2 linked regions of the Macaca mulatta genome follow. The protein of the gene in region 1 interacts with the protein of each later gene in a biochemical or structural test. Links are inferred from orthologs where the notes say so. Each region holds a gene or a part of one and is shown on either strand. Other genes may lie near its edges.

Region 1 (4,502 bases):
ATTGAGAACCCAGGTCTAGCCGGGTTTCTGATGATATCTTTACCTCATACAATTAAGGGAAAATCATGGCTAGGAATCAACTAAGAGACTCTGAGTGTCTATGGACTCCAACTAACAGAGAAGCCTACTGTAGCAGTGCCTCGGTGGGAGCAAAAACATGAGAATCTGTGCTCACACCTCTCTGTGGTCACAAGCAACTTAGCCATCTCGCCTATCTCTATTCTGATACAGCAGAAACTCTCAAGGTGATGACCCATCCCCAAATGGGTTCATCTAGAACATTCCCTTTCTCCTTCATTTTGAGAATTCCTTGTCTCCTTCCAATCCTGCATGACCTCCTTTCCTTGGATGACTCTGCTTCCCCTCACCTTCTAGTAATTCCTTCTTCTCTACTTTCTTTTCAGTCCTGGGAATATACTCCCTGGATCAAGGTCATTCCTTTCAGTTCCCTGGATGAACACTCACTGTCTTTCTATTTTTGTGGCTAAGAATTTGAGCAAATTCTCACCTAAGCCTAAGAGTATAAACATAACTGTCCACTTTTGCTGTCGTCTGGTGCCAAATAATTATGTTGTTAATCAACCTCCAGAATTGATGTCAACCAGTCAGGATAGAGGACACAAATCACAGGAGGCAAGTATTTCATCTATTAACTGCTCAGCATCCCAGCTATCTAATTATGGAAAAGAGTTAAGATGGTGCTTCGAGCCCATTTAATTTACAATTTCATTTCTTTGAAAAGTTCCACGTCAGCAGGGTACATTTTATCACAACGTGATGATTCTATAAAGACAACTGAGTGATCAAGTGGGAAAAAAGTTACTTTTATGTAAGCAGATGAGTGTAGTATATGATTATCCGTGGTATAATTTTGGTTTTCTATTCCATAATCTATGGTTGTATATTGCCCATCAGCTGCTCTGTGATCAAGCTGGACTTTGTCCCAAAGGGAGGAATCATAAAATGATTTAAGTTCTAGCACCTTTACTTAAATTCCCATCTGGATTCCCTGAAAGAGAATACGTCTCTGTATAGTTCTACATTATGATATATGTCTGAAAAAAACATTTGGAATCCTCCTGTTCATTCATTAGTTTCTTTGCCACGTCTTTCTTCCCTCTCTTTCCCTCTTCCTTCTCACTGCTGTGCCCCAAGTCCAGGCCTACAGCCCTGGATGCTTGGGTTACTTAAGCGCTCCTCCCTCCCAACAGATCCCTGCCTCCAGTGTCCCTCTCACTCCAACACATCCTACCAGACTCCTTTAAGCCTGCTGTCATGACATCACTAACAGCATAACCTGTTCTCCAACACTCCCTATGGTTAGGGCCCTCACCACCCTTTGCAACCTGGACCCGCCCTATGTGTCCAATTATACCAGGACCTTCAGGTCCTACATGCCCTACTCTATAGTTTCCGCTAGACAGAAAACTTTCCTCACCATCCCACAAATGGACCGTATGTGTGTTAAGCTTTGAGTGACAGCCTCTGTATTTCCTCCCTCCCAGCACATACATGTTTCCTCCAATTCTCCAGTATTTTATAATTTTACCCACCTCTCAAAGCCTACCTCTTAAATTATCTTCTCTATGAAACCTCCTCCTGCTACTCTAATTCTCTTCTTACATTCCTTCAGTCACTTACAGCTTCTATTGTATCATCCCTGCCCCTTATGAGGGTGTAGCTATTTGAGACCAAGGGCAAGAATGAGGTGCCTTCCTGTCCCGTCAGTGCTGATCACACAGCAGAACTCAACAGCATGTTCTTGAAATGGTTGAATGCAGTTGATACTGCCTACTGATCCCAGATCATTGGTGCATATCACATTACCTTTTACCAAGCACCTCCTAGGCATAAGACCTGTATTCTAGTGTGAAGGGCTGTCCCTCTGCCAATTCCAGACTTTCTCTTAAATATTGTCTCAAAAGCTTCAATTCTCTGGCTCCTTGTTATCTGGGATTACTTGTCTGCTACACGTGTCACATCACCCCCTGAACATTTGGCTCAGTTCCGATATGTAGTCAGAATAGAAAACACTCCCTGAATGGAGGGGAACATCACACACCGGGGCCTGTCAGGGAGTTGGGGGCCAGGGGAGGGAGAGCATTAGGAGAAATACTGAATGTAGATGACGGGTTGATGGGTGCAGCAAACCACCATGGGACATGTATACCTATGTAATAAACCTGCACCTTCTGCACATGTACCCCAGAACTTAAAAGTATAATAATAATTTTTTAAAAACTGTTAAAAAATGTGGGAAAAAAACCCACTCCCTGAACTTTAAAAGTTCCAGTCTCTGAAAGCCATGATGCCATTACAATGAGACAAAAAGACGACCTTCAAAAGCAAAATTTGGGGAAGTTGTCTTTTCCATAGCTCCTTGACTCATGCCCGTGGGGCCGCTTCTGGTTTATTCCTTTTTAAGAGGCTTGTTATAGATCATTGTTACGTTGACATGAGGGTATTGGAATGACAGATCTAATCCCCCCAAACACACTTGTAATATACACCCACAAAATAAATGAGACAATAAAACAATGAATAACAAATGATTACAGCTATCCTTAAAATTAAATAGTAACCTGCAATAAAATGGGTGAGGACTCAGTTTAGAGAAACCCTTCCTTAGAAAAGTTGGTTGCACTCAGACTCTGAACGTTGACCTTCAGTAGAATCTAAGCCCTTGGTATTTCTGTTTTATTATCTTTCCAGAGCTTCATACTTTATTGTAAGAGGTAGCTAAAGCAAGTCTCTCTTGTTCCTACACATTTCTTTAAGAACTCAGTCCACTTCCCTATAGCAAGTGCCACCCAATGCTTTCCCTAAAAGCTCAGTCCACTTCCCTATAGTAAGTGCCACCCACTGGAAACTAGCAAAGCATTCCAGGATTTCAGTATTTCTGAGATGCCATAAGAGCATTGGGGGAAAAAAAAGGAGATGAAGAAGGGTAAGTATTGGGTGGGGAAAATCTTACCTCAACTTCTGACTGGCGGGGACGGTTATTTTATTAAGCTTGTCCATTCTGTTTGGTAATTGTAAGAGACACGAATAAGTGTCCAGTGGTCACGTCAGCAGTTCCTGGCCCTCCTAAGGAGCAGCATGGTAAGCCTCTGGTCTCAAGGGTTCCGGCCACTCAAGTCTGACTTCTGAGAGTGCAGGCTGCTGGCAAACACCCCTGCTCTAGGGAGAAGTAAAACTTGCCCGAGCACATAGTCAAGTTTCATGTTTCTACATAATCATGTGATCTGGATAGCCAGCCAGCTTGATGATTACTCCACGTTCTGTAAACTTTAATAGTGAAACCTACTGGGCATGCAAATTTCTTTCCAGCTGCTTTCTTTTACAATCAGATTTGTAACAAGGTTGGGACAAGTTTCTGGCTGGTCACTACTTCCTGTTTGTCCCAAACACATCTAGTCTGTTTCCAGCAGGTGCATGCTATAACTGGGAACTTCCTGGGCTCAAGGAAAAGCAGAGTAATCAAGTCCATCTGAACCTCTCTTGGAGACTTTCTGCTTATTTGCATAAAGTCATGGATAAGCTTTTTCTACTTATAGAACCATTATATAAAAATGGCATTTTTGTGCTTTTCCCTCCCCGCCCCTGATGCGAGCAATATGTTTAAAAATAAATATCAGGGTGGCAGTGACATGGTGGTAACAGTTTACTCGGAGAATTAGAGTCTCTCTTTTTCTGGAGCTCTATTTAAAATGGGATGGGCAATTCTCTGTTCATCTGCGGGTAGGGATGGGTGACCCAGGAAAGGGGAGATGAACTCTGTCGTAAGATGTGCAGCCTCCTTATTGCCTGGTAGAGTCAGGAGTTACCTTGCCGATAGCCAGATGCTTTCAAACAAACCAGGATGTACCCAAAAGTCAGATGAGAACAAATCTAACAGTTTCACAAGAGTGCAATTCCTACATCAGGCCATTCTGAAGTCCTAAAAGCAGAATGCCACTCCCCTCCTTGCATTTGCCTCTTCCTGTCCTGTCCACCGCTTGCTCATCACAGCCAGTGACACGCCAGACACGAGGCCATCTCAAGCTCAGACAGGTGGGGTGAGGTTGGGAGGAGGGAACCATACCTGTAGGGGCTGAACGTATTCAGAGAACTCTACTTCCCTCCTGGAAGACTTGACATTTCCTTCTGCCTAATCTGAAACATGCTGATTTATCTGTTGTTTAAAGAGCAGCCTGCAGTCTAGGGTCAGGGAGGAAGAAAATGGGAGGAACTTTTTGTTCCTGGACATACTTTTTTGCAGCCATCGAGAATGCCCTGCTCACTCTTGTGGAATAAAGTACACATTTCCAACATTTATCAAGGGAACCAGTCTTCTCCTGGGTCAGAAGAATACACAGCACGACAAAGTAAAGGGCTCTCAGTTACCTCTCCTGTTGTAGACCCAAGATCTGACTGAAGACAGTGGGGAAAGAGGAGAAGACAGAAAAGGGAAAGGAGGTGGAGGAAGAGGAGGAGGAGGAGGAGGAAGAAGCAGAGGAAGA
Region 2 (4,502 bases), on another chromosome or scaffold:
ATCTCTCTAAAAAAAAAAAGAAGAAAAATATATGTTATTATTATTATTATTTGAGATGGAGTTTCACTCTTGTCACCCAGGCTGGAGTGCAATGGTGTGATCTCAGCTCACTGCAACCTCCCCCTCCTGGGTTCAACTGATTCTCCTGCCTCAACCTCCTGAGTAGCTGGGATAACAGGCATGTGCCACTACATCCAGCTAATTTTTTTTTTTTTTTTTTTTTTTTTTTTTTTTTTCTGGAGACGGAGTCTCGCTCTGTCGCCCAGGCTGGAGTGCAGTGGCCGGATCTCGGCTCACTGCAAGCTCCGTCTCCCGGGTTCACGCCATTCTCCTGCCTCAGCCTCCCGAGTAGCTGGGACTACAGGCGCCCGCCACCGCGCCCGGCTAGGTTTTTTTTGTATTTTTTAGTAGAGACGGGGTTTCACTGTGTTAGCCAGGATGGTCTCGATCTCCTGACCTCGTGATCCGCCCGTCTCGGCCTCCCAAAGTGCTGGGATTACAGGCTTGAGCCACCGCGCCCGGCCAATTTTTGTATTTTTAATAGAGATGGGGTTTCACCATGTTGGCCAGGCTGGTCTCAAACTCTTGACTTCAGGTGATTCTCCCACCTCAGCCTCTCAAAGTGACTCTTGCTCCTGCCTGCCTCCGTGAGGCTGTAGACGCCCCTTCTCCTTCGCTGGGCTCCCTACAGCCCCACATTGGCCCAGCTTGGCACAGATACGATTTCTATAGGCATCTTTCCTGGCTCCCCTACCCTCTGCCTCCTCTTCCCTTTCCCTGAGCCCCCTTCCCTCTGCCTGTGCCCTCTCTGCAGCCTCCACATCTCTCCCCACCTCCCGCCACCATACCTGGCCTGAGCGTGAGCCACCATACCTGGCCTGTTTTTTAACAAAGAATTCCAGTAAAGAGCTGATCGTGGCTCTAACTCCTGGAATACCAGAAACACCATCTCATATCACATAATGAGACAGGGAGACATTCTGGTCCTCATCTCACAGATGAAAAATGTCAAGGTTCAAAGGATAAAAGTGCCCACCTAGTCACACGGGTACTCAGCCACAGGTCAGCCTGCCTTATTTATTCTTCATGAGCATTTATAGTGACTAACATTTACTGAGCGCCTACTATGGGCCATTTCTGTGCATGCAACAACCCCTTTTAAGTCCTTGTTTCTAATCAAGAAGCAAGGAAATGGGGTCAGGGAAGGGACAAGGTTTCCCCAAGTCCAGGCAGGGGCAGAGGTCAAGCTCAGAACCATCACCTGCCCACAGCACATGCCCAGGACTCAGGTTCCCTAGGCTTCCTTCCAAAGGCTCAGCAGTGACGAGCCAGCCCTTGAACCAGCCTCTTCCCCCACCCAAGCAGCCACCTCTCAGGGGAATTGTGGCCACCACAGGTGCAGGGAGCAGTTCCTCTCCACTCACAGCCTGAAGCCTACCCGGCAGGGGCTGTCCCCAGGCCCAACAAGTAAAGGGCCCAGCAGCGAGGGCCACTGGAGCCCATCTCCGGGGGGCTGGGCAGGAAGTAGGGTGGGGTTTGGGGTAGGGATCTGGTACCCGGGGACTGCTGCAACTCAAACTAACCAACCCACTAGGAGAAGATGCCTGGGGGTCCAGGAGTCCTCCAAGCTCTGCCTGCCACCATCTTCCTCTTCTTCCTGCTGTCTGCTGCCTACCTGGGTATGTGGCCAAAGGGCAGGAACTGGTGGGAGGTGGGGGAAGATGTGGAGGCTGCAGAGTGGGCACAGGCAGAGGGAAGGGGGCTCAGGGAAAGGGGAAGAGGAGGCAGAGGGTAGGGGAGCCAGGGAAGATGCCTATAGAAATCGTATCTGTGCCAAGCTGGGCCAATGTGGGGCTGGAGGGAGCCCAGTGAAGAAGGGGCGTCCACAGCCTCACGGAGGCAGGCAGGAGCAAGAGTCACCTCCCCCACCTCCTGCTCCCCACAGGCCAAAATAAGGAACTAAAGTTGCTCTTGACTGAGCACGAGGGCTGGGGACAGGAAGGGGACTTGAGGGTAGTAGCATTCAGCGTCTGTCAAGGGGAGAAAAAGCTTTATCTGCCTTAAACCTCAGGTGCCTCTCTGTGTTGGGAGTCCCTTCTGAGCACTGGGGGAACAGATGTCTCATAGATTCCTCCTCACCCGCTCAAGGACAGCTGGCAGGGGCTGTGGCCACGCTAACCCAGGAGTTCAGAGAAGAAGGTTCCCCACCCAAGCGGACACTGGGAGCAAGGATTGGAGCTCACGTCTGAGTCTTAAGCCCATGATGATAAGGGTGCTCGGCCCCTCTCCCCACCTCTTCCTCCTTCTCTCTTCCTCACTTCCCTCCTCCGCCTACCTCCAGAAGAGGGGGCCGGCCATGTGGGAGGCCTGGCTGAGAGCTGGGACTTCCCAGAGGAGCCCAGATTGGACACTGCAGCCAGCCTGAGCAGCCCGGTCTCACTCAGAGACACCCCCAGTCTCCACCCCGCTCTGACCCCCTTCGCTCACCAGCAATCCAGCCCGAGGACTGAACTCACCCCTGAGTTGACACATACAACTTACAGAGAATGAGGGCCAGGCACAGGGTCACAGGCCAGGGCAGGCCACAGACTGGCTCCTCAGCCCAGGCAGGGAGAGGCCAGGGAGCCATGAGTTTGAACCCAGTGCCACTCCTGACTGCCTGGTGATGCTGGCAAACCGCCAGCCCTCCCAGGGCCTCAGCCATCCCTCCTGTAAAATGGGGCTAAGGAGATAACCTACTTCTAGGGTTCTGTGAATGAATACACAAGAAAAAGCGCAAGGTGCAGGGCCTGGCTGAGGCTGGGGTGCAAAAATAGACCGGGAAGGCTGCGGGAGGAGGGGATGCCTGCACTGCTTCTGGAAGGAGCTGTCTGGACAGCGGTCCTCCAGTGCCTTGAACAAACATCCAAAATCCAGAGAGTTCACAGGGCCCAGAGCACAAAGTGGGTATGTGGGAGGGGGGCAAGAGATGGCGCTGCAGAGGTGAGAAGGGCCTCCCAGGGGTCTCACCATCCCAGGGAGTCTCATTCTCCTCCCCCAGGATGTCCTCACCCACCCCAACCAGTTCTGTCCTCTCTCCCTCCCCAGGGGCCTCTTCACTTTCCCGCATCCCCCTCTCCCCAGGATGCATCAGCCCCTGTCAGGGGCTGTCCCTCTCCCCCCCAACCCAGGAGAGTTCTCACCCTCCTCCCCTCCCCACCCAGAATAGTCCTCACCCTCCTCCCCCCCCCACCCAGGAGAGTCCTCACCCTCCTCCCCCCCCCACCCAGGAGAGTTCTCACCCTCCTCCCCTCCCCACCCAGGCATGTCCTCACCCTCCTCCCCCCCAACCCAGGAGAGTTCTCACCCTCCTCCCCTCCCCACCCAGAATAGTCCTCACCCTCCTCCCCCCCACTCAGGAGAGTCCTCACCCTCCTCCCCCCCCACCCAGGAGAGTTCTCACCCTCCTCCCCTCCCCACCCAGAATAGTCCTCACCCTCCTCCCCCCCACCCAGGAGAGTCCTCACCCTCCTCCCCCCCCACCCAGGAGAGTTCTCACCCTCCTCCCCTCCCCACCCAGAATAGTCCTCACCCTCCTCCCCCCCACCCAGGAGAGTCCTCACCCTCCTCCCCTCCCCACCCAGGAGAGTCCTCACCCTCCTCCCCCCCCACCCAGGAGAGTCCTCATCCTCCTCCCCCCCCACCCAGGAGAGTCCTCACCCTCCTCCCCCTCCACCCAGGAGAGTCCTCACCCTCCTCCCCCCCCACCCAGGAGAGTTCTCACCCTCCTCCCCTCCCCACCCAGAATAGTCCTCACCCTCCTCCCCCCCACCCAGGAGAGTCCTCACCCTCCTCCCCCCCACCCAGGAGAGTCCTCACCCTCCTCCCCTCCCCACCCAGGAGAGTCCTCACCCTCCTCCCCCCCCACCCAGGAGAGTCCTCACCCTCCTCCCCCCCCACCCAGGAGAGTCCTCACCCTCCTCCCCCCCCACCCAGGCATGTCCTCACCCTCCTCCCCTCCTCACCCAGGCATGTCCTCACCCTCTTCCCAGGAGTGCTGGAGCTGCAGGGGCCAGGGCTGGGGGCATGTGTCGCCATCCCTAGTCCCTGACCCACCCACCCTGCCTCTCCACAGGTCCTGGGTGCCAGGCCCTGTGGGTAGATGGGGGCCCAACATCATTGATGGTGAGCCTGGGGGAAGAGGCCCACTTCCAATGCCTGCACAATGGCAGCAACGCCAACGTCACCTGGTGGCGCGTCCTCCATGGCAACTACACGTGGCCCCCTCAGTTCGTGGGCAAGGGCCAGGGCTACAATGGTACGCTGACCATCCAGAACGTGAACAAGAGCCACGGGGGCATATACCTGTGCCGGGTCCAGGAGGGCAATAAGCCACACCAGCAGTCCTGCGGCACCTACCTCCGTGTGCGCCGTGAGTGGCCCAGCCCTGGTCCCTACTCCCACTTTCCCACTGGGGACACTCGGTTTCTCTTTGAAGTGGGGATAGAGCCAGTACTTTCATT

What was found. The genes of interacting proteins can lie anywhere in the genome.
Region 2: the proteins of BLNK (region 1) and CD79A form a complex in vitro, tested with the Homo sapiens proteins (2 studies listed by BioGRID). The link is inferred for Macaca mulatta from reciprocal best matches to the Homo sapiens genes BLNK and CD79A.

The regions. Positions count from the first base shown.
Region 1 is NC_133414.1:108,279,583-108,284,084, forward strand, and holds the start of BLNK (B-cell linker protein), read right to left. Parts: upstream 3,193-4,502; 5' UTR 3,022-3,192; coding exon 2,975-3,021; intron 1-2,974. UniProt on the Homo sapiens protein: Functions as a central linker protein, downstream of the B-cell receptor (BCR), bridging the SYK kinase to a multitude of signaling pathways and regulating biological outcomes of B-cell function and development.
Region 2 is NC_133424.1:52,914,727-52,919,228, forward strand, and holds the start of CD79A (B-cell antigen receptor complex-associated protein alpha chain), read left to right. Parts: upstream 1-1,379; 5' UTR 1,380-1,600; coding exon 1,601-1,679; intron 1,680-4,114; coding exon 4,115-4,411; intron 4,412-4,502. UniProt on the Homo sapiens protein: Required in cooperation with CD79B for initiation of the signal transduction cascade activated by binding of antigen to the B-cell antigen receptor complex (BCR) which leads to internalization of the complex, trafficking to late endosomes and antigen presentation.